Linked DNA regions of Caenorhabditis elegans. The protein of the gene in region 1 purifies or fractionates together with the protein of each later gene. This does not show direct contact. Each region holds a gene or a part of one and is shown in the gene's direction. Other genes may lie near its edges. The genes, in order: F47B8.8 and txdc-12.1.

The links.
Region 2: the proteins of F47B8.8 (region 1) and txdc-12.1 fractionate together in Caenorhabditis elegans (co-fractionation; one large-scale study listed by BioGRID). This does not show direct contact.

Annotation. Positions count from the first base shown.
Region 1 is NC_003283.11:14,324,010-14,340,455, forward strand, and holds F47B8.8 (Aminopeptidase N-like N-terminal domain-containing protein), read left to right. Parts: upstream 1-7,664; 5' UTR 7,665-7,733; coding exon 7,734-7,944; intron 7,945-8,075; coding exon 8,076-8,377; intron 8,378-8,463; coding exon 8,464-8,571; 3' UTR 8,572-8,658; downstream 8,659-16,446. Other genes in the region: F47B8.4 (Glutaredoxin domain-containing protein), read right to left, coding at 1-142, 188-440, 485-579; F47B8.18 (Skin secretory protein xP2-like), read right to left, coding at 814-1,455; F47B8.5 (Methyltransferase FkbM domain-containing protein), read right to left, coding at 1,811-2,098, 2,143-2,213, 2,258-2,408, 2,472-2,549, 3,052-3,171, 3,470-3,604, 3,704-3,814; pepm-1 (Aminopeptidase N-like N-terminal domain-containing protein), read left to right, coding at 5,157-5,367, 5,540-5,844, 5,891-6,007; srm-4 (Serpentine Receptor, class M), read left to right, coding at 9,407-9,661, 9,730-9,905, 9,957-10,140, 10,185-10,388, 10,437-10,667; srm-5 (Serpentine Receptor, class M), read left to right, coding at 11,220-11,253, 11,319-11,560, 11,621-11,796, 11,844-12,024, 12,072-12,275, 12,464-12,703; srm-6 (Serpentine Receptor, class M), read left to right, coding at 13,040-13,267, 13,771-13,946, 13,999-14,179, 14,230-14,412, 14,456-14,704.
Region 2 is NC_003280.10:12,230,865-12,248,030, forward strand, and holds txdc-12.1 (Thioredoxin domain-containing protein), read left to right. Parts: upstream 1-9,523; coding exon 9,524-9,731; intron 9,732-10,755; coding exon 10,756-11,108; 3' UTR 11,109-11,221; downstream 11,222-17,166. Other genes in the region: sinh-1 (Stress-activated map kinase-interacting protein 1 homolog), read left to right, coding at 429-748, 1,744-2,043, 3,105-3,206, 4,001-4,251, 5,388-5,711; Y57A10A.24 (EB domain-containing protein), read left to right, coding at 12,131-12,393, 13,102-13,221, 13,326-13,511, 14,077-14,211, 14,412-14,618, 15,278-15,387, 15,448-15,562, 16,052-16,396 and 1 more.

The DNA of each region.
Region 1 (16,446 bases):
GTTTTTCAGGAATATTTCCCATTGATGAAACTTGAGTATTCAGTTCTAATACGACGCCTTGAATATTTTCGTAAATTGGCACGTCGAATGGATTGAGATTGTTGATTAGTTTCTCTACCTTCTCGATGAAAAAATTTTGGCCCTGAAATTCTATTCTTAAATTTCTAAAAAAATAAAAAAACATTACTTTTGCTTTGCTTATTTCGAATGCTATTTTATTCAATGTATACTCAAAGCTATCAATAATTGTCTTCAACATCTGGAGGTTCTTGATTTTGAAATATTCTCCAACTATCAGCTTTATATCGTCAATTTGGTTTTGAACGACTATAATTATAACATTGAGTGACTTCTTTTCGTGCTCAATTTTGGCTTTATTCTGATGATAGAAAATACTTTGAAAATGTAGAAACTGAACTCGTAATTGAATCATTGCATCTCTGAAAATGTGCTTTCTGGTGAACGCAATATGTTTCCTATATACCTTAAAACTGTAAGTTTGACACTGAAATCTTCCTCACTTGAATGCCAAGCAGCTTCATTGAATTCTTCTGAAGAGCTTTCAAGATAATTTCCCATTTCAGTTTAGTAGTTTTGAAGTAAACAACAAATGTGTTGAAATGGAACACAAAACAGTCAGTGTGCAGTATTCAAGTATTCAACTGATAAGAGTATCACCTGGTCGAGCAGCAAAAAGTAAACAGCACATGCGAAATGATAGAAACATTTTATTAAAAGTTGATGTCATTTGAACCGTAAATGAAAATGAACCAGTTGGTAAAAGCAAGATCGAAAATGTAGAATAAAAAGTTTTCAAAAAACGAGACGGGAGAAGCGCATCATTTTCTTGGCTGGATAAGATCCACCACCTCCAGCTGGAGCAGCAGCACCAGAGGAGTAACCACTGGCATCTGATTCTGGGGCTGCTGGAGCAGGTGCGGGGGCAGGAGCAACCTCAGGTACTGGAGCTGGTTCTGCTGGAGCGGCATCTGGTGCCGCAGCCGGAGCGGCTTCTGGTGCTGGTGCTGGTGCTGGAGCTGGCGCTGGTTCTGGTGCTGGAGCCGCTTCGGGTGCTGGTGCTGGAGCTGGAGCTGGAGCTGGGGCGGGTTCTGCTGGAGCAGCTGGAGCAGCTTCTCCTTCAGCATAATCACGAGCTACTCTTCTCTTCTTGGCTGGATAAGATCCGCCACCGGCGGGTGCAGCCGCAGCGGCATATCCTCCAGCGTCAGCTGATGGTGCAACAGGTGCGGCTTCTGGAGCTGGAGCTGGAGCTGGAACTGGTTCCGGAGCTGGTGGTGGAGCAGGGGCTGCATCGGCAGGTGGTGAAGATGGTGGTGCAGCTTCTCCTCCACCACCTCCACCACCTGAGTAACCACCACCTCCTCCGCCACTTGAATACTGACAGTGAGCAGAAAAGATTAAAGTAGAAACAGCGAAGATCAGAAGGAGATTCATACCTGGAAATTAATATTTAGTTAAATAATCTGGAAATCCCAACTCACTTGATGAGGAATTAGAAGGTGAAATGATGCCGTTCTCGATGATTTTCTGTTTATATACTGTTTCGCCTTCCAATAAGAACTTGATTTTGTTGTGAAAATGAAAGTGAGAAGTTGAAAATGTAATAAAATTGAAGAAGCTAAACAAGGAAAACAAACAAATCGCTTCAAAAATTATTGCAGGCTTTGTTAATTTTATTTTTGCAAAGACACTGAAAATTGAAGTTTTTTTTTTGAAAATTGTGAAAACAATATTAACTTAAAGATCTTCACGAATTGCAGGATTTTTTTAAACTATTTATTTGAAATTCCTAATATTTACGCCGACAAAAATCACTGTCAAAATTAAACATATACATTCTCATATGTATCACTTCTTCGGTTCGAAAGATTGCAAATCGTTCTTCCTTTATCAGTGTCTTCACGAAATGCATAAATCGTTCGTAGTGTAAATTATTAGGACCCGTTTCTGATAGATGAACTTCTAAATTAACTTGACAGAGTTCTATTCCATTTCTGTCAAAACTTCCGTCTTTCTCGAAAATTTCAAAAAGATCGTATTCGGCACCTTCGGAGTCCATCCACAAATTGTCAATTGTCTGAAATAATAGTTTTTGAAACTTAGAAAAGTTTAAAACCATACCTTCAATTTTAAAAGCCTTTCCACAAAATACATCATGTCTACATGAATAACACTTTGATTAAAATATTGCCCTGAAAATTTGAATAATCATCTCAAATTGTATTTCAAAACTTTCTATTTATCAAAACACTGGCCGTGGCATATCCTGGATTTTTAGCAACTGCAAATGGAAAATATTTTCCTATTTGTGGGTATAAATGTTCATTCACTTCAGTCATTGGGTCGGCACCGTAGAATTCGACGGTTTTTCCGAGTTTTCCCATTTTCTGCAATTTTGGCTCAATTTTCCAAAATATTTGTCAGTTTTTTTTTTTCAAATAAAAACACACCCTTTGCCATCTTTGCTCTCCAGTGATGTCTTTTCCAATTCCGATGGTTACAAATGTGTGTCTTTCATCATTCTGGAACTGAAATTAGTGTTATTGTTTTGTCTTGACACGCTCAAAAAGTACTTTACTGAACTGATTTATTTTGGAAATTTTTGTATATTTTTTCAATTTCTCTTTTTGACTTTTTATTTCCTTTGAAATTCATCAATTCCCATCTTACAGGAAATTCAATGTAACCAAAAAATCTTTTTTTTTTCAACTTTAAACTACAGTGTATTTTTTTTCTATACATTTTTAAAAGATGGCGAATTCATTTAAATAAATAAAGCTTCTCCAATTTCATAACTTCTCATTCACCTTTTCAAAATTTTCGATTCCTATAAATAATTTCCATTTCCCGCTTAAATCAGCCGTTGCTTTTTTCCTTCTGTTATAAGTTTTATGTTCCACGAAAAATGAGGCAAGCCTTAGAGATAACATCTCACTGTTTCAATGTTATCTGATCTGTTTTCTATGCACCTTAGCATAACCTGATTCCACGTGTTGTGATCATACGGTTTTTCAAAAAAATAAAACTCACATTTTTCGGCAAAATTGCAACTTTATCCTCATCCTTGTTTTTCAGAGTGATGAGGCCAAGCTTGTCGATTTCAGCGTCTTCGTCGCATTTTTTGGTTAACTTTGTAAATTGAGTCCAGAACTGAAAATAATTATTTGGAAAGTGAATTTAAAAATGACTACTGAAAATTGTTTTAGTAAGTTCACTGAAACATTTCAGAAAGTATTTCAAAATGTTTCATATTAAACTAAAAGTTAAAAAATGTAAAAAAATTGATTTTCTAGCTGAAAATTATTTTTAGTTATTTTTCAACTTTAATTTGGAACATTTTTAAAACTTACTGTATTTTTGAAACAGTTTCATAGATATCATTACAGATTTTTTGTTACTTTAAAAAAACTTTCACTATAGCCTTTTACTATAGACTATAGCCACATACCTGAACAGGATCATCAATAACCAAGAGGCTCCACTTTGCACAGTCCAGCCATTTCTTAAAAATTTCCTTCTTATTCGCGTCCATAAAAACTGTTTGAAGGTCTTCTTCGTCTGCGGCTTCTTCTCGAACATCTTCCTGAAAATTTCTATAAAGTTTCAATGTTGAACCGTTTAATTGATATTTAAAAAAATAAAAACTTTGTTGGAAGGCTCAAAAGTTTTGAAAGAATCTTACCAGATAAGCAATAAAAACTTTGTAACAAGCTAGAAATAATGTGAATAAGAGCAGAATTTTAACACATCGTTGAACTTTATTTTTCGTCGTTTTCATGAGAAACTGCGACATTTGGGAAAAAGATGTGTGGATAAGAATTCCGTTGCCAATTCCTACATATAAGCTATTGTATGGAGAACGGAAAAAGGGGTGGAGATTATAGGGGAAAACACATTCAATATTGATTCAACATTAGATTGAGAAGTTCAGGTGAACGAAAGAGATCAACAAGGAATATCAAAAGTTCGGATTATGTGTGTGCCATTTTCACGCCTTTTTTGGGACTTTTACAAAATTTTAAACAGAAATTGACATCCGGTTTTGGAAGATTTTTATAACCTGGAATTTTTTATCCTTATCGATCAAGAAATGCAATTCTACGGGACTGAATATAATGGAAAATACGCTGAAAGCATTTTCTTCAACAATTTCAGGGTAAATTTTATTCAGTTTCCTTGTCTCTCTTGTCTACTTTCTTAATGAAAAACAAATTTATTTTTTTGATCTTCAATTTTTTTTTAAATTTTAAAGGATATTTTATTAGCAGCCTCGCGATTGTTTTGGCAGTTTTTCGCGATTATATTCATGAAGGCGTAGGGAAGGTTACTGTGTATGAGAACCGTCTCTCAAGTCGTCATTGTTTAAGAACTGAATGATTTCTTGTCAGAAACTCAAAAAAATTAGAGTGGTATTTCACCCTACATTTGGTAAGTGAGAAAAACTTTATGTGGAGAGTACATCTTGTAAGGAAGCGTCGAATCCATTTTTAAAAATTATTCGATTTTTGATGTATTACAAAAAACATTTCGGTCAATCCTTTCAAAAGTTTGGCAATAAGCCGATCTGCAAAATTACAGCCTTGGGTAAGGACTTGTCGTAATCTTGGTAGACTACATAAAACTTTTTTTCAACGATGTGCCCATGCGCCCACCACTCTTCCGTATTTCTATTTAGTTTGAACATATAGAAAAAGATAATTGACGTATTAGATTTCTCTGATCTTTGTAAAAGATAATTTTTTCTCAATTAACAACATTGATGACGTCCATTAAATCCTTACAAAGTGTATGCGATATGTCGTTTGCTTTCCTTTTCAGGCTACATACGCTTTTTTTCGAGAGAAAGTTATCTAAACTGAATTGAAAAAATTAAAAGAAAGCTGTTTTCAAAAATTGAGTTTTCGCGATGTTTGCATTGTCAAAAATTCGAATGTCCAAAGTATTCAGTTATTATTGTTGTTTTTGGTATTGTTTTTGATTTACCAACAACCAAAAACCAAAACTGCCTGCAATCTTTTTCCATTTCTCTTATTTTGTTGCATTACCACCAACAAGTATTTCTCACACACATTTTCAATCGTAAACGCCTTCTCATTTCCATCTATTCTCATTTCAGTTTGACCTTACAACTAAAAATGTCAGAACTTCTTACTACGTACAGGCCAATTAAAATTCTTCTCCAACTTGATCCCAATCTGGGAAATAACTCATACAATGGTAGAGTAAAAATCGATTACGAGTTCACAGGAGAAACATCGGAGATCAAAATTCAAACATCTAGAGATTTTCAGTGGACTTCTGTCAGACTTGCCACGTTTTACGATTTCAATGAAGGATGTCCTGTGTGTAAGTTTTTAAACTTAAGTCTATTTAAAAGATTTGAATCAGTAAAATTTTGATTAATGTTGAGCAATCAACGTCCAAATAAAAAATGTTTTTAAGGCAGTCAACCTTTTTGGTAAATTGCCGAATTTTTCAAAAATGTGGACTTTTGTTTAAATATTTTTCCAAATTTCAGATGCAAGTGTTGATTGTGAAAACTATGTCCATGATGCCGAATCAGAGATACTGACTCTTCCATTGGGAAACCCCCTCACTCCTGAAACTACTGAAAATGGATTCTACATTGAATTAGAATGGACTGGACCTATAAATCCTCAGGGAGAAACTACTGGACTTTATGCAATTGATGAAAGTACTATTGAAGCAAATATGAAAGATGGGAATGCTCATAAAGTATTTCCATGTTATGAGGGAGGAGTTTCTGCAAAGTTCTGGCTGACTGTGATAACTGATGAAAGAACTAGAGTTGAAACTAATATGGTATGCTTTTGGAAAAGCAGAGTTTTGATTTTGATAAATGTTTCAGGATGACGCTGGGCACGAAGAATTCGAAGGAAGAGTGAAGAATAACTTTTTAAAAGAAGAAGAACTTACTATTGAAGATGTTTACATTTATGTCACACCAATTATCGATATGGAATAGTGTTTCCAATTTTTTTTGAACAATTAATTTACCGAATCAATGAATAAGTTTTTTTATTCATATATGTATGTGTTCCCTGGATGTTTCATAAGTATGACAAATTTACTAAATGTTCACGTGTGCTTGGGGGGTACGTATCAAGAAGTTGCTAGTTTCCGAAAATTTTTGGACTTGGCGTTTTTTTCTGATTTGTTAGGGGTCTCGAGTTAATCGTCCTATGTGGGTGAACTTCATAAAAATATTTTTTCTGCCTCTTCCTATATTAAATCCTGAAATTGCATTCTTGACAGAAATAAAAAATAAGGGCACGTTGTCGTAATGGGGTGTCCCGAGAAATGTGACTGCACTTTGAGAGCTTATATCTTGGCTTAGGGTTGGCGGTTTCTTGAGCAATTTGTTTCAATAGCTTATAAAAATAGCGCCTTCCATCGTCATCATTGTGGGGGAGCTTTTGGGAAGGCTAAAACACTGATTTGAGCGGAATTCTGGAGTATGGTCGAAATGGATGTATTCTTTGTACTGACGAATTTCATGTTTTTTCAGCCCCAAATCTTCAGTTTTTCTGACATTTGGTTCCAATTTGTGCGCAAGAGAGAACTTCGTATTTCCAATTTTTTGAAACTATTTTGAAAAAAATTGGCGCACTTTCCAAAATGTAGGCCATCATTCAATTTTTGCAAAATCAAAAAGATTGATTAAACGTGAAAAACTTTTCTACCACTCTCTCTCTTTCTCTATTTTTGGTGATGAATTCGATAATTTTCATTTCTTATTTTTAATAACGTGAGGAAAACTCAATTTTGAAGACTTTTCGAGATTTTTACTTTTTCCCTAATCTAATTGAGGGCCGCACTTTTTGAACATGTTGGCTACTTTTAACCTGACTTCCAGCAGGACAGGCTGGAGGCCTGCAATGCTATTGTATTTCACTCAAACCCAAAAATCAGGGATTAGGGCCACCTTCTTACTCTTTGAAACTTTAGGCCTTTTCTATCCCTACACCCAGCAGAGCAGGCTGGAGGCCTTCTCTGAGAGGTATGTTTCTATAACTACGTATGTTTTTGGAAAAGTAATGAAAAAGGTCACCTAGGTCAGTTAACCGGATTGAGGGCCAGAGGCCCGAATACACAAAACGTATTGGACAGCCGTTAAGCCTATACTGAGCCCAAAAACTCGAGTTGAGAGCCACAGGCCCGAATACACGAAGAAGTGTTGGAGATCCGTCAAGCCTATTCTTAGCATAATAATTCAGTTCGAGTGTCGCAAGCCCAAATAGACGCAGATGCGTTGGACAACTGTTAAGCCTATTTTAAGCAAAAAAATTTGAAAAAATTTTTATTTCTAAAATTAATATTAAACTAAATTTGGCCGGTCTTGACAAACTTCAGCACATTTACTTGGCATTTACTCAACACTTGACTAAACTTTAGCGAATAAAGCGAATTATTCTTGAGTTACTCTACGCCGAACTAAACTGCGAAGCCTAGCAACTCTCCGATTTGCTAGTCAAGATAAGTTTATAAATTCAAAACAATGGCATTGAAATGTTTTGTTTATTTTTTTTCTGATTTTCCGAGGAGAAAATATTTACAAATTCAATCGATGTTTTTTCATTTTTCTCTATCTCTTACGGGTGCACGTGTTCCTCCTACAAACCAGTTTTCACTCGTATCAAACTGTCGAGGCCGTCTCATTTCTGTCATTTATTCTCTGATTCTATTGAAATATGTCGGAACTTCTCACCACATATCGGCCGACTAGATACATGCTCCAACTCGATCCAAATATGGCAAACAAGACTTACTGCGGAAAAGTGAGAGTCGACTATGAATTCACTGCAGAAACTTCGGAAATCAAAATTCAAGCATCAAGGGATTTTCAATGGACTTCTATTAGGCTGATCAATTTTTACGCTGTATACCTGGAATGTCCCATTTGTAAGTTAATTTAAATTTTGAAACGGTTTTTTTTTTGGTTTTTTTCTCAATAGTAATTGTGCTGAAAAAATTATGGACTCAAATTTTGAATTTCAAGACATTACAAAACAATACAACTTCCCAAGTTTCAGATGCAAGTGTGTTATGTGACGACTATAACCATGATCTGGAATCTGAGATTCTTACACTTTCACTGGACACACCGCTAACCCCAGACAATACACAAAATGGATTCTACATTGAATTAGAATTTACTGGACCCATAATTATTGCAGGGCAAACTACTGGCCTCTTTGCGGTTGATGAGAACTCAATTACGGCAAATATGAAAGATGGAAATGCACATAAAGTTGCACCATGTTATGAAGGTGTTGCTATCAAGACCTGGCTGACTGTGATAGGTGGTGAAGGATCACAGGTAGAAACTAACTTGGTAAGGATTTCGATATCTTCAGCACATTAAAAAAAAATCAATTTCCGCATCAAACAAACATAATCCTATTTTTGTATATTTTTCAGAATAGCGATGGACAGGAAGACTTTGAAGGTCGCGTCAAGAAGAACTTCATAACGGATGAGGAAATTACTATTGAAAATCTATGCATTAATGTTTCTAATTTTTCTTGAAACATCTTTTTTTATGTGAATAGATTAATATTTCTAATTTTTTCTACCCCAATTTCTATTTTGCCATAAAGATTTTCCAAGTATTGGAATTCCGATTTTATTTCAGTTATATCACAAGAAAAATAGGAAAAACAATTATAGCACCAAACAAAGCAAACACCAGATTATTCGATATCTGCAAAATCCGGAAGTCTATTCAAGGTGGGCCATAGTTATACGGACTACTTCTCTTTTCATAGAGGTGAATAATCTAGGTTAGAATATACTATAAATCATCAAATAATTTGCAGGCATAATTTAATAAGATTGAGAAAAATGAAACCAAATTTGCGTGGTTCATTTTGATCAGCATGTGACTTATTTTGTTTCTTTTTCCATTTTAATAGCACACATTTTTGAGAATCTATTTAACTTGTTCCACCACGCAGTGTAGGCGTAACAATTTCAAAGACAGCCAACCTCGTGTGATTCAGATCTAATTGAGTCAAAGCTCGAGGTAACTGAATTTTCAGACCTCCGATTTTCCATGTTCCGAATAATATTTTCAAATGCGTAATAACATCTGATTATTATTATTATTTGTTTTCGAGCCATTTTTCAGCAATAAATTTTTATCAGTTCCTCATTTCGGGTAAGTTTTTTGTTTTAAATTAAAGTTCGAAACACTAAACTTTAAAACATTCAACTTGCTGATTATTTGTCTGCTCTTGTGATTTTGCACTTAATTTTATAATGGTATGTATATAAACATAATAGAATTTACACGTAATAAGCAGAATTTATATCAAATAGAATAGCATTTAACATCTGTCATACCAATAATCCATAACACCCAATGACTTCTACAGCTCCCCCGGAAAGTGAATCTTCGGATGACATTGGTCCACCTGCGGAACTTGGTCCGATTATCCGTAGTTATCACTTTTACAATGATCTGGTTGCCGGTGTATTAAGCATTATGCTCAATGTTCTTGTGATATTAGTATTTACTACACGGATATCAACTGCTTCAAAACTATTCAAAAAAGTGATGACAGTTACAAAACTTGTCGAGATGTTGTTTAGCGCAAGTTATATTTTGACAGCTCCGGTAAGTCAACTTCTGATGAGTAACGGTGATGGGTGGCATTTAATCAAAATAATGTATTGTAATTTCAGGTATTCACATCAATTTCGGTCGATGATTCATTTACTGGTCTTATGATTGTTAATACTGGGTGGCAATTCAATTTCTATTATAGTCAAATTGTTCTTGCCGCGGCACTTGTTTTTCTAACTCAACAAATTTTTCTAGCCCCTTGGCTTTACTACATTAGATATGATCAAGTTTGCAAGTATGTTTTAGATGTTCTAACTCAATTTACAAGATTGAAGTTATTTTCCAGAAAACATGGTGTTAGATGTATCGATTTCTTAAAAATGCTAATTATCAATTTAATTTTTCAAGTTCTCACATCAGTGAGCCTTTGCTTTTCGTCTTTCCCAACTAGTAAGGACATAACCGAGCTTCAATTTGTTGCCAATAAGTTTACTGGTTCAAACTCTGCATTTCTTCTTTTATCATATACGGTTGAAAAACTTTGAAGAATAATAAAACGGGTTTTTTTTTTCAGAAAGAAGTGGATACTGTCAGGGAACAGATTGAACACGTCGGATCAATAATGTCTGCGGTTGCTTACGTATTAACTTTAATCTTGTCAATTTTGGTCATGATTTTGTGCACGATAAAAATCAATTTAAAAGTTCGAGAATCAAAAAACTCAAGTAACAATTTATTGGTACTGCAGAAGAAGATGAATCGAGTTTTATTGGCACAGGTAATCCTTTAGATTTTACTCTATATTCTTTAATTTCAACATTTTCAGTTCTTCTGTCCATTAATATTCATTCAAGCTCCATTCTACTATTCAGTCCTTGGTCCGATAGTTGGACTTTCCCAAGGCCTTGTTACAGACCTTCTCCCTCTCCTTTTTGCCTGGTCACCTGTTGTAAACACCCTTTTTATATTCATTCTAAATTCGGAAATTCGAAATGCATTGATCGGAAAACAACATGTATCAACTTCTGAAGTTCGGTCATTTGCAAATAAAAGCTGATTCTAAATCAAAAAATCTTTTTTTTCTGTATCATTTGCGTCTGTGTTTTTGTCTCTTAACATTGGGTTTATTTGTTTGTTGGTTTCTTACCACATTTCTGGATATTTTTAATAAATCGATTTATTTGTGAATATGTTTTGTCTTACAATTAAATCTTTTGCTCAAGACATCGACAATTTTTCGGTAGGTTTTTTCTAATAATGAAGCAAACATGTTACATTCTGAAGTGCTCACAAATTGGCGTTGAACTAAATTAAATTTTTAAAATATAATTTTAACATAGTCTACATAGTTGAAGAATAATTCCAATTTATGTTGTGTTGTAAGTAGCATTTTATTTGTGACTGATAGTGAGATCAACTATACAACCCGGTTAATATCATCACCCAGTCAGTATAGATGTAACACATTTGCTAGTGGCATGAGTCAATGGAGTATGTTTCCCTTGATAATTTAATTGTCAGGTGCTGGATTAAGTATCGAGTATTATTATTTGTATCAATATTGGAAACTCGCGCCAATTATTCGTTTGCAGACTCACATTATTGAACTATGAATTTTGAAAAGTTCTTGTTTCCTCCACCGCGTAAGATTTTTTTTATTGAAATAAATGAAACTTTAAATAAGGAGCTTTTACATTTTTATTTCCAGCTCTACCTGGGAATAGAACATCAATGCAGCTGGGGCCACCGTCTGAGCTTGCACCAGTTATCCAGAGATATCATTTTTACAACGATCTTATTGCTGGAATTTTAAGTATCACAATTGGTAGTTTGCTCATTTTTCTAGTCACAACTAGAATTTCAACGCCCACGAGATTATTCAAGAAAGTTCAAGCAATTTCAAAGTGCACGGAGATTTTGTTTAGCGCGAGTTATATTCTGACAGCTCCGGTAGGTATATTTTTAAGCCGTTCAGTTTTCATTTGTTTTTTTTTTCTGAAAATTTTTTAGGTATTCACATCAATTGTAATGAACGATACATTTTCTGGTCTAATGATTGTCAACACTGGATGGCAATTCAATTTTCATTTCAGTCAAATATTTCTTTCAGCAGCTCTATTTTTACTCACTGAGCAAATATTTCTAGCGCCATGGCATTATTATATTAGATATGCACAAGTTTGCAGGTTTTCCTCAATTTTTGTGCTTCAAATATTAGAAAATATTTTTTCAGAAAGGGCGCCGGATGTATTGACGTATCAATTATAGTTGTTTTGAATATTATTCTACAAATTCTAACTTCAATGAACCTATGCTACGCAGCTCTTCCGACTAGTGAGGACATACAATTACTACAAGAGATTGCAAATAAGTTTACTTTATCATATTCCGCATTTCTTCTTTTGTCTTATAAAGTGAATAAACGGAAAAAGTATAAAATAATAGATAATATTTATTTCAGAAAGAAGTGGACTCTGTTGCGGACTCTGTCGACAAAGTTCTATCGATTATTTCAGCAGTTAGTTATGTATCAAGTCTAGTATTTTCAATTTTTCTCATGATATTTTTCACTATTAAAATGAACCTCAAAATTCGAGAATCTACAAATACGAGCAGCAATTTGCTAGAGTTGCAGAGGAAATTAAATAGGCTGCTTTTGGCGCAGGTTAGTAAAACAGTTAGCCAAAAAGGACTTCATAGAGGGAAACGATTTAGATTTTAAAAATGTTTCCCAAATTTAAAACAATAGAAAATTTCAATAATGCATTTCACGGTGCCGCCATTTACGCTCGCCCGCCGGTCGCCCTCAATAACGCCTCCGAAAAACATGAAATATATAATTCTTATTTTCAGTTTTTCTCCCCATTAATATTTATTCAAGTTCCATTCTACTATTCAGTCCTTGGCCCAATTGTTGGACTGTCGCAAGGCCTTGTAACAGACCTTTTCCCTCTCCTCTTTGCCTGGTCACCTGTTTTCAACACATTTCTCATTTTCATTCTAAACTCTGAAATCCGAAGTGCTCTCATCGGAAAACAACGTACGTCCACAACATCTGATGCTCGACGATCAGTTGGTGGTAATCAAAACTGAATCGAAGCAAAATAAAAATATCTCGGAATCCCAACTGAATTGGTGCGTTACTCAGTATCCCTGGTTCTATAATTAGTACCTATTGCCTCTTGTCACAAGCTTCTATCTCACTCCGTAGACTACACAACAAGAGCGTCACTGAAAGAGCTGTTATCGCTTTCTCCTTATTCAAATTATCTTTCAATTCTCTACTCCTCTTGTCTCTCGCGATTCCCTTGTGAGATCTTCCCCGTGCTCATTAGTCATGTAAGCATCTGGAGTCTGTGCTCAATCTCAATCCAAATGAGCTTAAGTTAGTGATCTGTGAGCCCATTTCATTCTAATTATCGATTATCAATGGCTATTCAAATCCTGAACGGCGCCTCTCCAGAAGTTGCAACAACTACCGCAATTTATGCATGGTGGAACAATGTCGCAGCCTGTTTAATTCTGATTCCATTGATCTCGATCTCAACATTCATTTTGCTTAAAGGAAAAACTATTCTGAAGCATATGAAATATGCTATTGGAATCTACAAATTACTGGATGTTGCATTCAGCGTTCTTTTTGTTCTGGCATGTCCGGTGAGGATTAATTTTTGACAATTGTGTTGCTCAGTGCATTTCAAAGACTGCTATGTTAAATTTTTAATCTATATTCTCAATTTCAAAAAAAAAATTCAACAAAAAAAAAACTAGATTTGGATGCCTAGTAACGCCCTAATTATAATTCATCCGTTTGGAGTGGAGCGTAAGAAATCACGATTGCCATTCATTTAATACTACCCCAAAAGTTAGAAGAAATGCGTGTTCGGATATATGTTTGAGCCCTGTAAAATAGTGTAGGGTTACGGTAGATATCATCTTGTGTTAGCTGTTGATTTGCGACAGAGACTGGAAAATAGCAGGCATTGACAGAGTTACAAAATTTCCTTCCTGACTCCTACCTAAGCCAGTACTTACTTAAATGACAGCATGATCTTTTTTTAAAATTTCTCAACTGAATTAACCATGAAGGTTTTAGTCTTGAATAATCCGTATATTCGTAAAACTTTTTCAAAAGGAATCATAACAACATTTAATTTCAGATATTCGTCGCTGTTGAAACTTCCGATGGTTTTGAAGGTTTAATGATTGTAAACGCTGGAGTTTCAATGCCAGCTGTTCTGACCATGACTCTTTTGATGTTTTCGATTGTTCTCCTAACACAGCAGATTTTCTCATCACCCACTATTTATTTCATCAGATACCTGCAAATTTGTCGGTGAGTTATTTTATTTTATTTTAATATGGAAATTGATAGTTTCAATTTAAAGAAGAGGAGTTCATCCTTCGCATGCAGTAATAATTATTATCATCAATCTGTTTTTCCTCTCCCTCAGTTCGGGAGTTCTTTGTTATTCTTCATATCCAGTAATTGATGACGTCATCAATCTGAGCGGAATTGCTGTGTCCTATGTTGGACATGAAACTTCGTTCCTTGTTCTTTCAGTTGATGTAAGTTTAAAAGTATTTTTTTTCAATTCAAAAACAACTTATGATTTTAGAAAACAGCTACTTCGATATCAGCATACGTTTCCAGTATCACGTACGTCTCGATACTGCTAGTAGCCGTGGTGGCTATGATATTTTTCTACTTTAAAATCAACTCTAAAATGAACTCAAATCTTAACATGAGTGAAAATTTGAAGAAAATGCAGAAGCAAGCAAATCAGATTTTGACTATGCAGGTATTACGAATAGATTTTTAAGTTTAAAAATTTTAATTTTTAGTTCATATTGACACTCATCTTCATTCAACTTCCATTCTTCTATTCGGTACTTGGTCCATTGGCTGGACTTTCTCAGAAACTTGCCACATATCTTCTATCAATTCTTTTTGTTTGGGGTCCCGTTATCAACACAGTCAGCATATTCGTCTTCAAGACAGAAGTTAGACAGAAATTCTGCGGATGTTCAAAAGAAGTTGAAACGACTGTGATTAATGTAGCCGACCGTTCGGCTATGAAGCCTGATATGTAAACGTGAATTCTGATGGGTTTATTTATTGCTATATTGTATTCTGTTTTATTGTTTGATGGAACAGTTTTCCATCTGGGAATAAACATTTTTCAAATTGATTCACTGCAACACGTTTTCCTTTCTTGTCATCAATCCTTTCTCAGGGGTGTTCTTCAACAAATATTTTAACTTGCCAAACTCGTTGATAAGATATCAGTGATATAAGATCGTACTCGAAACGTTTGCATTCTTTAGGTCACACGTTCCTGAATGCAAGGAATTACGTGATTTTTCCACAACTTATATCCAATCAAAGAAGTTTTTGATCTGCAAAAAAAAAAACAGTTTTATTGTAAACTAAATACTTGAAGAATGCAACTTCCTATTTAAGAATTCAAACCAAGTTCAACTAACGGCGTCCGGGTACCACTGACAAGCCCTAGCCTAAACCTACGCCTAAGCACAAGACTAAGAAATAGTCTAACTCTAAGCCTAAGCCTACGTCTTTGCCTAACTATAAGCAGAATACTGAGTACTAATAACAATCAAAGTAGGGTTAAAAAATTTGACTTTTGTTCTAATGTGTTTCTAGAAATGATTTTCCTCCTGATATTTTATATCGTAAACTTTTATTTTTGCTAATTTTTCGATTTTTTCCCAAAGAATGTACCTAGATTATGAAAGTTTTTGTACCCAATTGTCGCAAAAAAACTGTGTAAACAATGATGATAGAAATATGTCATAAATTATACGTCGTCACAAGCAGCTGGTTAATATCTAAACGGTCAAAAACTAATATCATCTACTCGACGAATTTGGCGTCGGATTCTCACGAAACGTCGCATTTTCCCACGAAATTTACCATATGACTGCCGAAATTGCGTTGTTACAGTTTTATGCCCTGTGGTTTCTTTTTTGTTATTCGTTAATTATAAAACCGGAACAAAGTAACAATTTTATAGATTTTCAGTTGTTTTGTGTGCCGATTAATTTGGGAACTTTTCGGGGAAACACCTTGGGCGTGTGATCTGAAATGTACAGTACACGTCAACAGAATGGTTTTGACTGAAATTGAACGGCGATGATGAAGTGACGAGTGTCAAGTACAGGTTTTTTCAGGTTTCCGAAACGAAAATGACGAAGGATACAATTTTTGAACTTGGTGATTTCATAGAAAATCAATCACTTGTTTATATCCGAAAAAAATGAAACTGATATGAGCAGGGTTATTGAAAAGAAAAAGTAAAGTACATATAACCACAGATTGCAGGTCAAGGATTGTTTTGAAGTTTCTTTACTTTTTTCATGGCATTTAAAATACACACTGCTAATACTTGGTTACTTCTTGCCTACGTGCATTCTTACGCAAAGTTAGAGATTTTGTGTATGCGTTGATTACAATAACTGTTCCTGCGTTTCCTGCATGCATTGGTGACCGAAAGTTAACGCGTTTTTGATTTTTGAATAAGTTTTCTGGACTTTCCATCGAGTATAACTCAAATCTAGGTTACATGACAAATTTGGTAACCACCATCTTTCAGGCCATGGCTATCAAAGGTCAATCAGGATAAAGAATCGGCGACTGTAGACTACTCGTGCTTCTAGATTTGGAACTACAGTGTGCTCTCCGTAAATTAGTTATAAGAGAAAATTCAAAATTACCATTTTATTATTTTTCACCTTTAACCTGCTGATCACCATACTTTTGTTTGTTGCGAACTTTCAAAAACCAAAAAGAAATCAAAAGATGATATTGGAGAATC
Region 2 (17,166 bases), on another chromosome or scaffold:
TTGCCGAGAGCTTTGATTTAAGTATAATCATGACCTACTTCCGTTGATTTCGAGAAATTTTGGGTCCCACCGCGAAAACGCCCCGGGTTACTGTAGGCTTTCGTGGTGGAACCCAAGAAATTTCAAAATAAGCGGAGCACAGGCAATATGGGGTTTATTTTGAAGCTCTGAACGAACGCAATACAGTGCTAATAGTAAAAATTTTAAAAAATTTTAAAAATTGGGTCCCACCACGAAAACCTCCTGGGTTACTGTAGGCTTTCGTGGTGGGACCCAAAAGGGCTAAAATAGGCCGAGCCTAGTCGATATGGGGTGCATTTGAAAGGTCTCGACGAGGCTGACATCATGCAAGCAATGAAATTTGTGTAAAATGTCAAAAAAAAATTTTCTGAGAAAAAAATTTTTTGTTAATTTTTTCAATTTTTCAGCGGCGAAGTCGACGACTATCAATTCTACTTGGCCGAAGAAGACGGCGAAATCGAACACGAGCTCCCACCACTGGACAGCTCGAAGCTTGTAGGCCAAGTAGGCTTCACGTGCCTCGGCCTAGTCTCACGTATCAAGAAAAATGGGAATAGCCGTCAAAAACGGGCTGTGGCTGTGTGGTTTGTCGATAAGGATCAATATGTGATAGAAGTTGATAATATGGAAAAACCGTTGCGATGGCTTAGAGATGAAGCTTTTCGTCTCAGAGAGGAGACTGTTAAGGAGCGAGAACCCTTGTTTCAGGGGCTACTTGATATAAAAGGTGCCTAGGATTTTTGAAAAATCTGGTTTTTGCTAAATTTTTCAATAAAAATCGTCGAAATCCCGTCGAAAAACGTCCAATTTTGACGTTTTTTTTAAAGAGCGGGGGCGTGGCTTTGGAGACTCCGCCCCTTTATTGGCTTTACTATTTTTTTGACAGCCTTAGTAGTTTTTTGACTTAATTTTGGCAATTTCAGAGAAATTTTTTAAAGATTTTTTTTCAGGAAAAATTCAAATTTCTCAAAAAAAAAAAACATTTTTTTCAAGAAAAAAAAAATTAAATTTTTGGCAGGATTTTACAGTTTTTTGTGAAAATTTTCGAATATCGCGGAATTTATTTTTAGAAAACCAAACATTTTATCCAAAAACTGCTAAATTCGACTAAAAATTAACTTAAAGCTGTCCACGCGCCGCAGGTTTGCAAAACTAGGCTCCGCCTCTTTTTCTGTGCGGCACTGCGAAATTAGCAGCTTGACCGGGATTTTGAATTTTTTTTCTAAAAAAAAAACAAAAAAAATCAATTTTTTCTAAAAAGTTTTTCTGAAATTTTTTGTTAAAAAAATACAAAAAAAAATAATTTAAATTTTTTTATTTAAAAAAATCAATTTCTTTTGTAAAAATAAAGAAAAAATCAGTTCTTTTTCCTAAAAAAATCAATTTGAAATAAAAAAATACATTTTTCTGGAAAAAAAGTAATTTTTTGCAAAAAAAAAAAACCGGACAAAAATCGAAAAAAATTTAGTTTTTAGAAAAAAAAGCGAAAAAATCATTTTTTTTGTTTGAAAAGCAAAAACCGTAAAAAAATAAATTCTTTTTCCTAAAAAAAGCAAAACAAAAAATCACTTTTTTGTAAAAAAAATACTATAAAAATATCAATCTTTGAAATAAAAAAACGAAAAAAAAGTAAATTCTTTGCTTTAAAAAAATTTACAAAAATTAATTTTTTTTCAGAAAAAATTCCGAAAAAAGTAAAAAATTAAAACTTTCTTTTTCCAGAATACTACATGGAAGCCGTTGACAATTTCGACGTGAAGCTTGACCTAGAAGCCAGTATCTCGAGTGCTCGGAGCCTCGAATTCGTGATGATCCGAAAAAACAGCTCAAGAGCCGGATTCCATCCACGTGGCGGCCGATACGGTCGACAAATGAGCGCAATGCTCACTCTGAAAATGCCGAATAGCCCAATCGCGGCGGGACCCATGACACCATTGCCAACGGTAATGGAGGAGAGCCCGGCGGTGGCAGGCACTTCCAATGGATTCGGTTTCCCTAAAGCTGAAAGTTGTGGGGCAATTGGTAAATGCTCGATTTTTTGAAAATTAAAAAAAATCTTACAGCACTTTTTTTCGAGTTCTCTTTTTTTCGAATTTTCCGGTTTTTAAATACATTTTGCATTGAAAAACGGTTTTTTTTTTCGGAAAATTTTCCGATTTTTCAACGAAAATTTGTGAAAAAAACCGCTAAAAATTGGAATTTTTGCAAATTTTGTTTAAAAAATCGGTGTTTTCTTAATTTTTTTTTTGGAATTTTCAACAACATTTTCTAAAAAAAATATGAAATACTCTCCATTTTTTTTCGGATAATTCCCTGAAAAATGTGAGAACGAATTTTTTAATTGTTAATTTCAGAAAAATTTTTTTTTTTAAATTTTTTAAATTTTTTCATTTTTTCATTTTCCACAAATTCTATTGCCTGCATCGTGCCAGGCTTGTCAAGAGCTTTCAAATGCACCCCATATCGACTAGGTTCGGCCTGAATTACCCCCACTTTTTGGGTCCCACCACGAAAGCCTACAGTAACCCGGAGGGTTTTCGTGGTGGGACCCACTTTTTTCAATTTTTATTATTAGCACTGTATTAGGCTTGCCGAGAGCTTTCAAATGCACCCCATATCGACTATGCTCTGCTTATTTTGAAATTTTTTGGGTCCCACCACGAAAGCCTACAGTAACCCGGAGGGTTTTCGTGGTGGGACCCACTTTTTTCAATTTTTATTATTAGCACTGTATTAGGCTTGCCGAGAGCTTTCAAATGCACCCCATATCGACTATGCTTTGCTTATTTTGAAATTTTTTGGGTCCCACCACGAAAGCCTACAGTAACCCGGAGGTTTTCGTGGCGGGACCCAAAAATTCTCAAAATCAACGAAAGTAGGTCATGATTATACTTAAATCAAAGCTCTCGACAAGCTGAATTCGAATTTTCGGTATTTTTTTTTTTTAACTAACGGTAGAATTTTTTGAGAGAAAAAAGTTTTCAAAATTTTTTTTCGAAAAAAAAAATCTGCTTTTTTGTTAAATTTTTCTGTCAACAATGTTAAAACTCTGAAAAAATCCAACCAATTTTCCCTTTTTTCAGCTTCTACACCAGGAGTGACATGGAATGATGATGGAGGCCAACTTTCTTCGTTTATTGTGCAACGAATTCACAAATTTAAGCCAAAATGGAAGGCAAACCTGAGTACGGTGGTTTAAAACTGTTTCAGAATTTTTTTTTCAAAAAAAAATGTAAAAAAATTGTTTTTAATAAAAACAATTTTCTGTGAAATTTTTTAGGTTCGAAAATGCCAGAAAAAAAAAAGAAAAAAAAATGCAATAATTACAAATTGCTAACAAAAGCTTTTGAATTTTCTGGAATAAACACAATTCGATTTTCAAAAAAATATGGAAATTTTTTTTTTCTAAAATTGGGAAAAAAAATTATTTTTTAGGGTCGAAAATGCCTGAAAAAATCAGAAAAAAATTACAAAAAGTGCAAATTGCCAAAGAAATTTTTCAGAATAAAGTTTAATTTTTTATTCAAAATTTCATTTTAAGCTACGTTCAAAAATGCCAAACAAAATTACAGAAAAAATAGGAAAGATCACAAATTGCCAAAAAACATTTTTTGAGCATTTTCCGGAAAAATTATGTTTTTCAAAAAAAAATTGGGCTTTCCAAAAATTGCAAAAAAAATCATTTTTTAGGTTTAAAATTAACCAAATTGCTGAAAAATGTTTTCAAAACAATTTAAAATTGATTATTTTTTGAAAAATGATTTTGCGGAAAAAACAGCATTCGATTTTTCAAAAAAAAAATTAAAATTTCCAAACAATTTTTTTGAAGCATTTTTTAGGTTCAAAAATGCCAGAAAAAATCAGAAAAAAAATTACAAAAAATTGCAAAAAATTTTTTTTTGAGCATTTCCCGGAAAAATAATTTTTTTTCCAAATTTCAGAAAAAAAAAACTCAAAAAAACTTATAAATAATTTTCAGTATTCCGTTGGACATGCTTCGAAATCGAAAAATATCGTGAAGATAGATCAGCATTCCTACCACAAGGATATCAAAAGCATACAAAAGTACCATGGGAATATGTTGGCGGAGTCCGTACACAACTGAAAGATGCAAAAGCTGGACGAGTTGACATGTGGCAGATCACATTCTTCTGGTTACCGGTTCTCAGTGATGAAACTGTGAAAGATGTTATTGGAGATGCTGAATGGAATCTTAATCTTGTTGCAAAGGTTTAACAAATTGCTGAAAAAAACTAGAAAAACAGTGAAAAAAAAATTATGTTTTAAAAAAATTTCCGAAAAATTCGAAAAAACATTTTTTTTGTTTTGGTATTTTCTGTATTTTTCTTTTGAATTTTGGACATTTTGCACTAAAAAATAAAAATTATAATTGCAAAAAATTCATCAAATTTTTTTCTTAGATTTTGTATTTTCTGAGAACAATTTTTTTACCTTTTCGTTTTTTGAAAAAAAAAATTTCCCGGAAAATTCTAAAAAAAAATATTTTTGGCAGTTTTTTTTCTTTTTTGTTTGAAATTTGCACATTTTCGAACCTAAAAAATACAATTTTAAATAAAATTGTATTTTTTATCTAATTTTTTGAAAAAAAAAACTTTTTTTCGAATTGTTTTTTTTTTTTGAAAAATCGAGTTGTTTTTTCTGCAAAATTATTTTTTTATTGACAATTTTTAATTTTTTTTTCTGAAATTTAGTCATTTTAAAAGCTAAAAAATTAATTCTTAAATTTAAAAATGCATTAAAGTTTTTATTTTCAAAAACTAATTTTTTTCAATTTTTGGGAAAAAAAATTAAAATAATTTTTTTAAAAACAATTTGTACTTTTTTCTTTATTTCGTCTAAAATTTTCACATTTTCAAACCTAAAAAATACAATTTTAAATAAAAATTTAACAAAATTTTTTTTCGGTAGATGTAACCTTTTATTTAATTTTTTTTTTTGATAAATCTAATTGAATTTGTATCCGCAAAGTTATGGCAATTTTTATTTAAAAAAAATTTTTTTCTGAGTTTTGGTCATAAATAATGCATTAAAAGTTGTATTTTCTTTTTTCAAAAACAAATTTTTTGTACTTTTTGTGAAGAATTAACATTAAAAAAATGATTTTTTACCGGAAAATTCTAAAAACCATTTTTTTGGCAATTTGTACACTTTCGTACCTATAAAATACAATTTTAAATTAAAAAAAACCTTTTGTTAAAATTTTTTGAAAATTTTTTTGTCGGAAAATGCTCTGAAACTTGTAAATTTTCGAGCCTAAAAAAATACAATTTTTATTAAAAAAAATTATTTTCCAAAATTAGTAATTCGGAAACATTGCAAACTAAAAAAAGTTCAATTTCTTCCAGATCTACGCAAATGAAGAAAAATGGCGTAGCGTTACACTCGAGACATTCTTCAAACAAGACGTCGACGAGATTTTCAGCCAAACAAATTCGATACTTCAAGCCCGCGACGCTTCGATCTACAAAGCCTTTTCACATTCCTCATTCGGTACTTTAAGCCCCGCAGCGAGTGCTGATTTAGCTCTAATGGAAAGTGCCGAAGCCATTGTTTCACCGTCGTCAGATGCTCCAAGTCGCTCCTCAAATGGGAAAAATGGAGGAAAATTTCGAAAAATGTCGAGCCTGATGGCCAGTGTGATGGGAAGACGAAAATCTGATTCTAAGTAGTTTTTTTTTTAGGTTTTTAGGTTTTTTTGTTTTGCTGTGATATATATTTTGCTTTAATAGTGTATTTGAAAAATTGATATTTTTTGTAAAAAAATTCCAAAAAATTGAGAAAAAAACATTTTCGGAATTTTTAATTTTTACAAAATTCTAAGAAATTTATACCGGAAAATGTTGAAAATCTAAAATCACTTTTTTTTGTTTTGAAATTTTATAAAAATTTTCAAAATTCAAATTTTCAAAAATCACTTTTTTTTTGAATAATTCGGAAAATTTGGAACAAAAAAAAACAAATTTTATGTTTTCATTTCGGCAAATTTTAAAAAATTCGAAAATTTTTTAATTTTGGTTATTTCGGGAAAATTACGATTAAAACATTTTTTGAAAAATATTTGAAAAAATTCAAATTTTACGATTTTTTGGATATTTCGGCAAGTTTTTTGAAAGATTCGAAATTTTTAATTTTGGGCATTTCGGAAAAATCACGATTAAATTTTTTTTTTTTTAGTATTTGAAAAAAAATCAAATTTTGCGATTTTTGGATATTTCTGAAAAAACTGAAAATTTTCGAAAAATGTTGAAATAAAAAGTAATGTTTTCTTATTTTCGGCCACATTTTGATATATTTTTTCCCCTAAAAATTCGAAAAACTCCCGATTATTCTGCATTTTCCTGTAAAATTTACGATTTTAGGAAATTTTGAAAATTGTCAAAAAAATTCCAAAAAAGTTACGTTTCAAGATTCGAAATATGTTACAAAAATTTTTTAAAATTGATTTTTCTTATTTTCACCCAAAAATTCGAAAAAATCCCAAAATTTGAGACAAAAACCCAATCAAATTGTGATTTTCTTGTTCATTTTCCGGAAAAATTTATTTTTTCAAAAAAAAAAAAAATTTGTTATTCCTAAAATCACTGTACCTCTTTTTCCTATTCCACCTCTATATTGTGATATATCAATCAATTTTCTTCAATACTAATACAAATTAATATTCCACATTTGTGTGTGTATGTGCAGTTCTAATTAACATATTATCAATTCATTTTTCCCATTTATTCCACTGCCCCTGCTTCACTTCTTCATACTACCCTCCTACCGTACACCGTTAGCCGACGTGTACAATTCACATTCTGCTTCCTTCTTCTTCTTCTTCTCGGAATCTCTAAGAAAAAAAGCGAAATAGTATGGGATAACCGGAGAGACGGCAGACAGAACCTGTTCTGTCTTCCAACTCATCGGTGAATTTGTGTGTGTTGGAGAAGGAAAGAAGGAAGGATTCCAATTGCCATTTCCGACTTTTCATTCCATTTCACATACACAGCTTCTTGTTATGTTTGGATTTTAGTTTTCGAGTAATTTACTAATAATTTATTGGGTTCTCATAACGTTTATTCAAATAGGAACATAATCAGATTGAATTTCAAAGAACGCAGTTACGTAGAAAAGCTATCTTCAATTTTAATAACTTATTGGGTTCTTATGTATTATAACCGAATAGAGTCATAATTACATATGTTTTCGAAATATGTAGATACACGGGTGGGTTATCTCCAATTTTAATGCCGTAATTGTATTAGGATTTATCAAAAAACGACAGCTAACACTATATTTGTTAAATCCTATTCACACTATATTATATTAGATTAATACTGATTAAGTTGTTCAAAAATGTGATGTTACGTATTTCGAATAAAAATCTAATTATATGTGGCCTAATATCGACAGCTAACTAGATACGGGTTATATATTTAGGTTATTCTCGTAATACCTTATCATGTATCTTAAAAGGGTAGTAGAGTTTGTGGGTATTTTGCTTAAATAGACTACAACTGGTCCAAAACCACCGAATTTCATAATGAGACTTCCCAAAAAATTTCCGAAAATGTTTTATGGTCCGCCAAAATTTCGAAAAAAAAAGAGTCAAATCTTGCTAAAATCTGAAATTTTGCACACTTTTCTTAGTCACAGCCGCTGGATTTTAGTCTTTCTGAAATTATCACCATTTAATCCTTATTTTGATAATTTATCCTGCGGAATTTTGTTGATTGAGACAACTTTTAGACCAATAGGCATCCAAAAATGATCAAAATTGGATGCCTATCGGCCTAAAAGTTGTCTCAATCAACGAATGAGATAAATTACCAAAACAAGGATTAAAAGGTGATAATTTCAGAAAAACCAAAGTTCAGTGGCTGTGACTAAGAAAAGTGTGCAAAATTTCAGATTTTATCAAAATTTGACTCTTTTTTTTTCGAAATTTTGACCGGCTATAAAAAATTTTTGGAAATTTTTTGTGAAGTCTCATTATGAAATTCGGTGGTTTTGGACCAGTTTTAGTCTATTTAAGCAAAATACTTACAAACTCTACTCCCCCTTTAATATATTTCACGACATACATACGTGAATAACTTCTTTAGTGTTGCTCTTTAATTATGTAGTATACTTAAATGCATTTTATTAAAAATCGTCAGTATTTAACAGTATTGAATTGTTCATACTAATAAAATCAGACAATGTTTGACGCAAATAAAATGAAGCAATACATGTTTTTTACTTTGTCAATTAGTTAGTTAGTTATGAACATTGTAACTATACAGTTTACAAGCAAACGGGTTAATTTTTCGTGAAAGTAATTATTTTCAATAACGTTATTAAAATTATATATTACTAACTTTTATATGGGAATCATCCTAACCAAGAAAACTGTTTAAAAAATTGTAAAAACCCTAATTATAATTCATAAAGTTATTAAAATATACATCGATCGAAATATAGTAACCACCACCATTTCTAGAATGCATTACCAAAAATTATGTGCAAAATAGTAATGTTTTATGAGACTTCCAACAAAAAAAAATTGAATCACCGAATCATGTTTTTGCTACAAAACATTGTAGTTGCTTTTTGAATTTTTCGTTCTGCTTCATATTTTTTTCCAGACATCATTGATATAACCCTTTTTATCTGCAAAAACTCATCAAAGCACCTTCTTTATGGTTTCTGATCACCCCTCCATAGATACACCGAGATCCTTATCATCGGTACGACCTCGACCGTTGGCTAGTTTTTTGCAGTTCGATAATGACCTCAATATCTTGATCTGTTTCTTCTTTTCTCCATCATTCGTCATACCTTTCACTTTTAGAGGTGGTTTTTTATACAGCTTTTCTAATACAAAGGATAGTGATATTAAAAAATTCTAGTTTTAGATTATTAACAACGGGATTGCATAGAAAAAGTTTCTTTTTCGACATTTTTTCGTAAAACGGGCATTAAATGAATAACACAACAATTATATAGTTCTGTTATAAAACAACAAGTAGTATGTTTTATAACAGAACTTTATAATCGTTGTGTTTTTATAACAGCAATGGCTTTTAAACGCTGGAAAAAAAAGGTCACAACAGTTCATTTTCAAGCTTAGTCTTAGTCTTAGTCTTAGGCTTAGGCTTAGCCTTAGCCTTAGTTTTAGGCCCGGGTTCAGGCTTAGCCTTAGGCTTAGGCTTTGGCTTAGTCTTAGGCTTAGTCTTAGGATTAGTCTTAGGCTTAGGCTTAGGCATAGGTGGGGCTGGGGGATTATTTTAATTTTTTTTTTTGAAAATTATCAGAAATTTTTTACATTCAATTAAACAAATTGTAGTGAATATTTTGAGTTGTGTAAAAATGATATTTTTCACAACAGTAATAATATTTAAATTATACATATAAACCACATTAATAACGTTTTTTTTAAGTATCTGATCACTTTTTTTTGCATGCTAAACTTATATTTTCTGTTTAGTATAAAACTCCATCCAATTCCCCGTTGTTCCAGATGAGATCCCTTCTCCTCTTGGCACTTGTGAGTGCGTCGGCGTACGCGAGTTTCGACAAGATCAAGGATTCTATTCAAAACCCATTGGCACGTGGATTTGGTGACGATATTGCGTGGGTCAAGTGGGAAGATGCAATTGAGACTGCTTTGGATACTGATAAGCCAATCTTCTTGTTGATCCACAAGTCTTGGTGCCATGCTTGCAAAGGTAAGAGCGGCAGTTGAGAAAATTTAGGCAATTTCTTATAATACGTGTGGTATCACACTGTCCCATCACGGTTTGATCTACAAAAAATGCGGGAATTTTTTGCTCTAAAAATGCGACGTCAGCAGGTTCTTAATCATGCGAAATCATTTGAGAACTCTGCGACTCTTCTCCCGCATTTTTTGTAGATCTAGGTAGATCAAGCCGAAGTGAGACACCCTGACACCGCGTGATTGATTACATGCTTCACTAATAATTTGAAATTTAATCATTTTATTCAACAAGTTAGTCCAATAGAGCGCACATTCACATGTCCCTTCCCCACTGCAGCTTCGATTTTCTCTCCGGGTAACCGACCAAAGACAAGAAAGGAGAGGGATTTATTCATCCTTGACACACTTTTTTTTATTAATTCAAAGAATGGTGTCAGAACACCTTGTAAACCACAAAGCTTGTACATATAGTTTTCAAGGGAAAAATCGGGAAATTCAATTGATATTTTTCGAAAATTGCAAAAAAAAACGTGCAAAATTTTGAATTAAGAAAAATGCACATTTGTACAAATTTTGGGAAATTCAAAAATTTTCACGTGATGGGACCCGTGTGTGGGCGAACCACAGTTTAAATTTGATGTAAAATAATATTTATAATTTTTATGACTCAACATTTGAAACTTTAAACATAATTGTATTCGTTTAAAAATTTGTGAAAAAATTGAAAATTGGTTTTAAAAAATTTGAAGTTTAAATATTTCAAGTCCAGAAAATCCAATGCGAGAAAAAACCTCAAAATTTTTTTAAAAATTCCAAAAATTATATAAAAAATTATTTTAAAGCTTTCAAAAATTCAATAAAAATTCCAAACAAATTCCACTAATCTGAAAAAAGGATAAAATCTATTGGGGTCCTAAGCCTAAGTTTGAGCCTAAGTCTAAGTGTAAGGCTACGACTAAGCCTAAGCCCAAGCTGTAGCTTACGTCTAAGCCTAATTTTTAAATGTTTCAATTTCGAATTTTCAAATTTTCCAGCTCTCAAGAAGACCTTCCAACAATCCAACGCCAAGAAAGCCTTCAAAAAGCTCTCAGAGCACTTTGTAATGGTTAACACCGAAGACGACGACGAGCCATTCGAGGAGGAGTACCGTCCAGACGGAAAGTACATTCCACGTCTGCTTTTCCTCGACAAAAATGGAGATCTTCTTCAAGAATTCAAAAATAAGAAGGCCGAATACAAAAATTACGCGTATTACTACTCATCACCAGCTGATATCCTTAACTCTATGAAGGATGTGCTTAAACATTTTGGAGTTGACATTCCAGAGGCTAAGAGAGGTGATAAGCTTAAGCCAAAGAAGCCAGAGGGAAAGAAGAAGGAATTGTAAGAATAGAGATTGTTTTATTGATTTATTGATTGATTTTCAGCTAATTTATTTCTTATCATTTCTTTGCCAATCTTGTTAACTATTATTAATTATTATCACGAATAAACTGGTTCTCGATACGTCGGTTTTTACGAAAAATTTAAATTCGCGCCAAAAACCTTTTCGAAACCTCGAAAAAATTTTAAAAATCTTATGAAAATTGCATTTTGTGCCTGAAAATTTTTAGCCAATTTTTTAGAAAAAAAAAAAGTTTTAGGAAAATCTGTGACATTTTGAAAAATTCAGGAAAGTTTGAAATTCCAGCCAAAAAACTTTTGAAAACTAATTTTTTGAAAAAACTAATTTTTTGAAATTTTTGAATTTTGCATTCATTTGAAATTGACTTAGGCATAGGCTTAGGTCTAGGCTTAGGCTTAGTCTCAGGCTTAGGCTCAGGCCTACGCTTAGACGTAGGCTTAGGCTTTGGTTTAGGCTCAGGCTTTTTTCGGTGATTTTAGAAAATCTGAAAAGCTTTTTGAAGTTTAAATCTGAACAAAATTTTTTTTGTTTGAAAAAATTTATAATTTCATGAATTTTTGAATTTTGCTCTCGATAATTGTTTAATTTAAAAAAATTCAAAAAAAATTTGAATTTTGCCACAAAATAGGAGATTTAAAATACACCGCCCACATATTGGTTCAAATCTAAATCAAGGCTTTCATGGGAGGCAGGCGCGGTTTCAGGGCCTGACGCCTGTCTGCCCGCCTGCCTTCCGCCGCGGCCGACACTTTTCGGGTTCCGCACTATACAGAAGGCCCGAGGCAGGTGAAGGTCGCCGCAAGGTAGGCACACCAGGCCTTTTGGCGCCTACATGGAAGGATTAATCAAAACCAGTTTCCTAAGGGATTAAGAAACTTTCTCTCCTTCCCTATATTTGAGTAGTTATGTAAACATCCTCATATTCAGAATATGTCACGTCTCTTCTCCAATGTTCCGAATTATTTTCCTCTTATACATCGTCGGGTCATTTCTCTACCAGCAATATGAATTCGCAGTTTGAATTTCGAAATTTAGTTCTAAATTCCCAATTTCTTTGGATTTTTCTAATAAATCTTATCACCTCTGCCAATTCTGAAGCCCTAGCTTCTCCTTATCAGTATCTGAAGGATCTTTGCCCTGTTGGACAGCTTCCACTAACGGATACGGAGCACGTGAAGACGTGTGCAAGCTTATGTCCTCTTGGAGCATTTTGTCATAGGGGTATATGTTGTGTACCGCCACCGCAGTGCAGGCATCCGGCTTATAGGTGAGGAAATTTTTTTTTGAATTTTGTGTTAAACTTCGCAGATTATATATTGTTTTTTGAAAACAAATAATTTTATTTTACCGCCAAATTGTTTTTAAATGTTTTCAAATATTTAAAATTGGCGCCAATTTTTTTTGAAGTTTTTGGAATATTTAAGTTTGGCGCCAAAATTGTTTTGCAATTTTTAAATAATTTAATTTGACGTCACAATGTTTTAAAATTTTTAAAATATTTAAATCTGGCGCCACTTTTTAAAATTTTTTTTAAATATTTAAAATTGGCGCCAAATTTGTTTTGCAAGTTTTTAAATATTTAAATTTGGCGCCAACTTTTTTTGTTGATATTTTTGAATTATTTAAAATTGGCGCAAAAATTGTTCTGAAATTTTTTTAATATTTAAAATTGGCGCTAAATTTTTTTTGCAATTTCTAAAAAATTAAATTTAGCACCATTTTTTGAAATTTCTTTTAATATTTAAATTGGGCGCCAATTATTTTTGTTGATATTTTTGAAATATCTAAATTTGGCGAAAATTGAAATTTTAAAATTTCTGTCAAAATTATCAAAAAAAAAAATTATATCAAAAAAATTAAAACTTGAAGCTTGCCCCAACTATTTTAAAGATTCAAAAACTGAAAGTCGCGCCAAAGTTGCTAAAAATCTGAAATTTTGAATTTCGCGCCAAAAATATTTGAACTCAAACTTCAGGATGTCTACCGGCTTTCCATGTCTTCCAAAACGTAAGAATAACTGCCCAGATGGATCATTTTGTGTATCAAGTAGTCAGGATGGAATGTCGATATGCTGCTCAAACAGGAGCATTGAAAAGTTGGTGATTTTAAGCTCCGCCCACTTCTTGGTTTTCTGGGAGAAGAAGACCATTCTAAAATAAAAACTATAACTACAAATAAAATAAATCCATATTTTTACAGAAGTTTCCCGATAACATCACAATTAAAACTCTCCAAATCTGCACCGTTCCCAAAGGAAAAGCCGATGCAAAAATCCACGTCATCACTGATGACGTCACTAGACTCCTCCCAAATCTGTCCGAAATCCCATCCAATTATTGCACATGATGGGAAATCTCTGGTTTTGTGCAAGGATTGTGTTCAGGGGTTAGTTTTGGACTGCGTTTTAAAAATTAAAAAATTTATTTTTAAACGAAAATGTTACCTAAACTCGAAATTTACAATTTTTGCACCAAAAAACTGGAGAAAAATTTTTAGTGCCCAAAAAAATTATTTTTGAACATTTCAAATTTTTTTAGATTTTTCAGAAAGTTCACATAATATTGAAGATTTTGATTTTGTAAATTTGAACAAAAGCATAAAACTGTTTGTATCACAAATTAAATTTTTTTAACATTTGAACATTTTGGGTCCCACCACGATAAGTTTCAGAACCGATATTTTCCTGGAAACTGTTATAGAAAAAAAGTAAAAATTCAGATTTATTTCGGGGTACCCCGAATTCAAACAAAATATCATAATATGAAAAAAATTTTTAAATCAAACGTTAAATAATATTTCGAATTTTTGGGTCCCACCACAAAAGCTTTTTTGCCGAAAATTTTGTGAAAAAAATTGGCAAAATTGTATGTATGATGCTTTAAATTTAACATTTCAACTAATTTAAAAAAATTAAATTCGAAAATTTTTTTTTCAAATTCTATATTTTCAGAGTTTGCGCAAAATTCCGCACCAGTAACGTAGAGGTATGCTGTCAAAGTTCTGACGATATTTGTGGTGTTGGAAGTCAAATTTTGATGAATGGATTGGTGCCGAGGGACTGTAACAAGAAGCCATGTGGGATGGGGTAAGTGAATTTTACAGCTCAAGCCATGCTCTTAAAATAGCCAGGAGCTAATTTTTTTTGCTCGAAACTTTCCGAAAAACATCTAAAACTTGGAATCAATTTTTTGATTTTTTGAAAATTAAAGTTGAAATTTCACAAAAATTTTTAAACATTTTCAGAACTTCTAAACTAAAATTGCACCGCAAATTTCAAATTTCCAGCTACGAATGTTCGCTAACCCCGACGGGTCTTCGTGTATGTTGTTCGTTAGCCCAATGCCCGTCAGGAGTGTTTGCGAGAAGTGTGTGCGCAGCCGGATGTTTGAGAAATGAAAAGTGCATGGAAATTCAGAATGAGATGTGGTGTTGTCCATCCGAGGAATCATTCGGTTCAAGAATTGAGATGGTTTGTAGGAATGGGGAGAATGGGTAAGTTACTACATTGTACTGTAGTACTGTATACTGTATAGTGTACTGTTGGGGTACTGTAGCTCAGTTTCCGTTTGTCAAAAATTATCAAAAAATTTAATTCAGTGTTTATCATCCAGAAAATAGCCTTAATATACCGAGTATAACTGTAGAAAAATTTATGGAATTTCTCTAAATTTTTCTAAATTTTTAACGATTTTTTTTCAATTTTGCAAAAATATTTGATTTATAACACTAAAAACTATTCAAATGCCAGAAAATGGAGCCGTAATGACCAAATATATCTGGAAAATTTTTAAATAAATTTTCTAATTTTTTAAAATGATTTTTCGTCAATTTTTAAAAAATCTAAGAAACGGCCGAATTAAATTTGAATTCCCGCGCAAACCATATATTTCGGCCGTTTTTTAAATTGTTGAATAATTGAAAAATCATTTTAACAAATTCGAAATTTTTTTATTAGGTGCTTCTATTGAATTTTTCTACAGTTACATTCGGTATATTGAAACTATTTTATGTCATTTAGAGCAAAAAAAACTTCCAAAAATTTTATTTCCTCGAGTTTTTTTAAAATTTCAAATGTACTTGATTGTCTAGATTACTGTAGAAATGCTTATGACTCAATTACAAAAAAATCCCAGTATTGATTCTTATTCCAGAACCGGTGAAAAATGTGACCCAGCTTTTCCGGCGTGCTCACAAGGAGCATTTTGTGAGCTGAACAAGGAGAAGACCGCCCATATTTGCTGTAAGCGGTATAAAAATCGACGTGAGTATTTTATTGCTTAAACCTATAAAAACTAAAATTCAAGAAAAAAAAAAATTTCAGTCGGCAACAGCCGTAAAACCCTTCTACCCCCTCCATTCTACTACACTACAACTACTATGAAGGCTCCCATAACCATAGCCACAACTACTGCAGAACCATACCCTTTTGAATCTGTGTAGGTTGCTTAATTAAAGGCAAAGTAGCGCCAGAGGGGAAAGTGTTTAAAACTACTCCATTGGTGTCAAAATGATCGAATATCATTTTAAAAAATTTCAAAAAATTTTTGAAATTTTTTTATTTATTATCAAAAAGTGACAATTACTCAGTTTTTGCCACTCATAATTTTGGAAGTCAACCAAAAAAAAATTTTTTTCTACATTTTTTATACTGTAATTTTTTTTTAATTATTTGTATTAAAAAATTGTAGGGGTTGGAACATGCGAAATTGCTTTGGATTTCCTCAAAGGCTCATATTTTTCAAAATGTTTGCAATTTTCCAAAACTGACCGGGAATAATGAAAAATCTAAAAATTTTTGGACTGTTTGTTAATGATATTTGGTCATTTGAAATAATTTTAAGTGTATTTAGACACAATCCCCACTGGCGTTACTTTACTTTTAAACCATCAAAGGTATCTTAATCATATCTTAATATTTATTACAGTCCAAACTGCCAAGACCCTGAAGCCCGTCCACTCATGGAAAACGGCTTCCCATACATTTGTGATCATATCGGAGATCCGTGTATTCTTCGATCAGGATATTCGTGTCAAGAATCTGATATTGATGATGTCTATGTGTGTTGTACTATTCAAATGAACCGAATCCTTCCACCACAGATTCCAATGATTGGGCCATTTACGTTTATGACGTCATCAACTACTACAACTACTGAGAAGCCGATTGAAGAGGAAGAAGTGATTGCGCAGCCGACATGCCCATTTTCATATATGCCGTCGAAAAATGTTAATCAAGATGTGCAGCGTTGTCTATCACTGTTTACGTTGGAGTGAGTTCCAGAAAAATAAAAAATAAAAAATTTTTTTCGATTGTTTTTTGAAACTCTAAAAATCAGTATTATCTTATTATCTTTATCCAATTTTTTAAAATTTTTTTTTAAATCGGAATTAAAAAAATTCTAACATACATATATTGTTGAAAACGTTTAACGTTCAAAAATCGATATTTTAAAATAATTCCAGCTGCCCACTCGGCTACACGTGTCTACCATCTTCCACTACCGACAGTTATCTATGTTGTATTCGGAAGCCTGTGGTCTATTAGGCTTAATTATTGATTTTTGTTTTTTTTTTCGAATATTTGTGCCAATTCTATATTTTTTAAATATTTTTTTAGCTAATGAACATGTTTTCAAACAGTTTAATTTAAAAACAGCCTAATACAAAAACTTGGAAAACTAAGCCTAAGCCTAAGCCTAACCCTAAGCCTAAGCCTACACCTAAGACTACACCTAAGCCTAAGCCTAAGCCTATGCCCAAGTCTAAGACTAAGCCTAAGCCTAAGCCTAGGCCTAGGATAATGAGAGCATTTTCAGACTGCTCTATAAAGCCAAACAAAGATTTTGCAATAATTCATAACGCATTCGATTCACAATAACAAGTTCTTTAATAAAACTATAAAAATGTAAAAAGTTAGGAGTCAAATTTTTATTTATTTAACACTGAAAAATTGGAGTGTGTAGATAATGAGAGCATTTTCAGACTATGTTTTTTCAGAGCTGACGCCAAGCTTATGCCTAAGCCCAAGCCTACGCCTAAG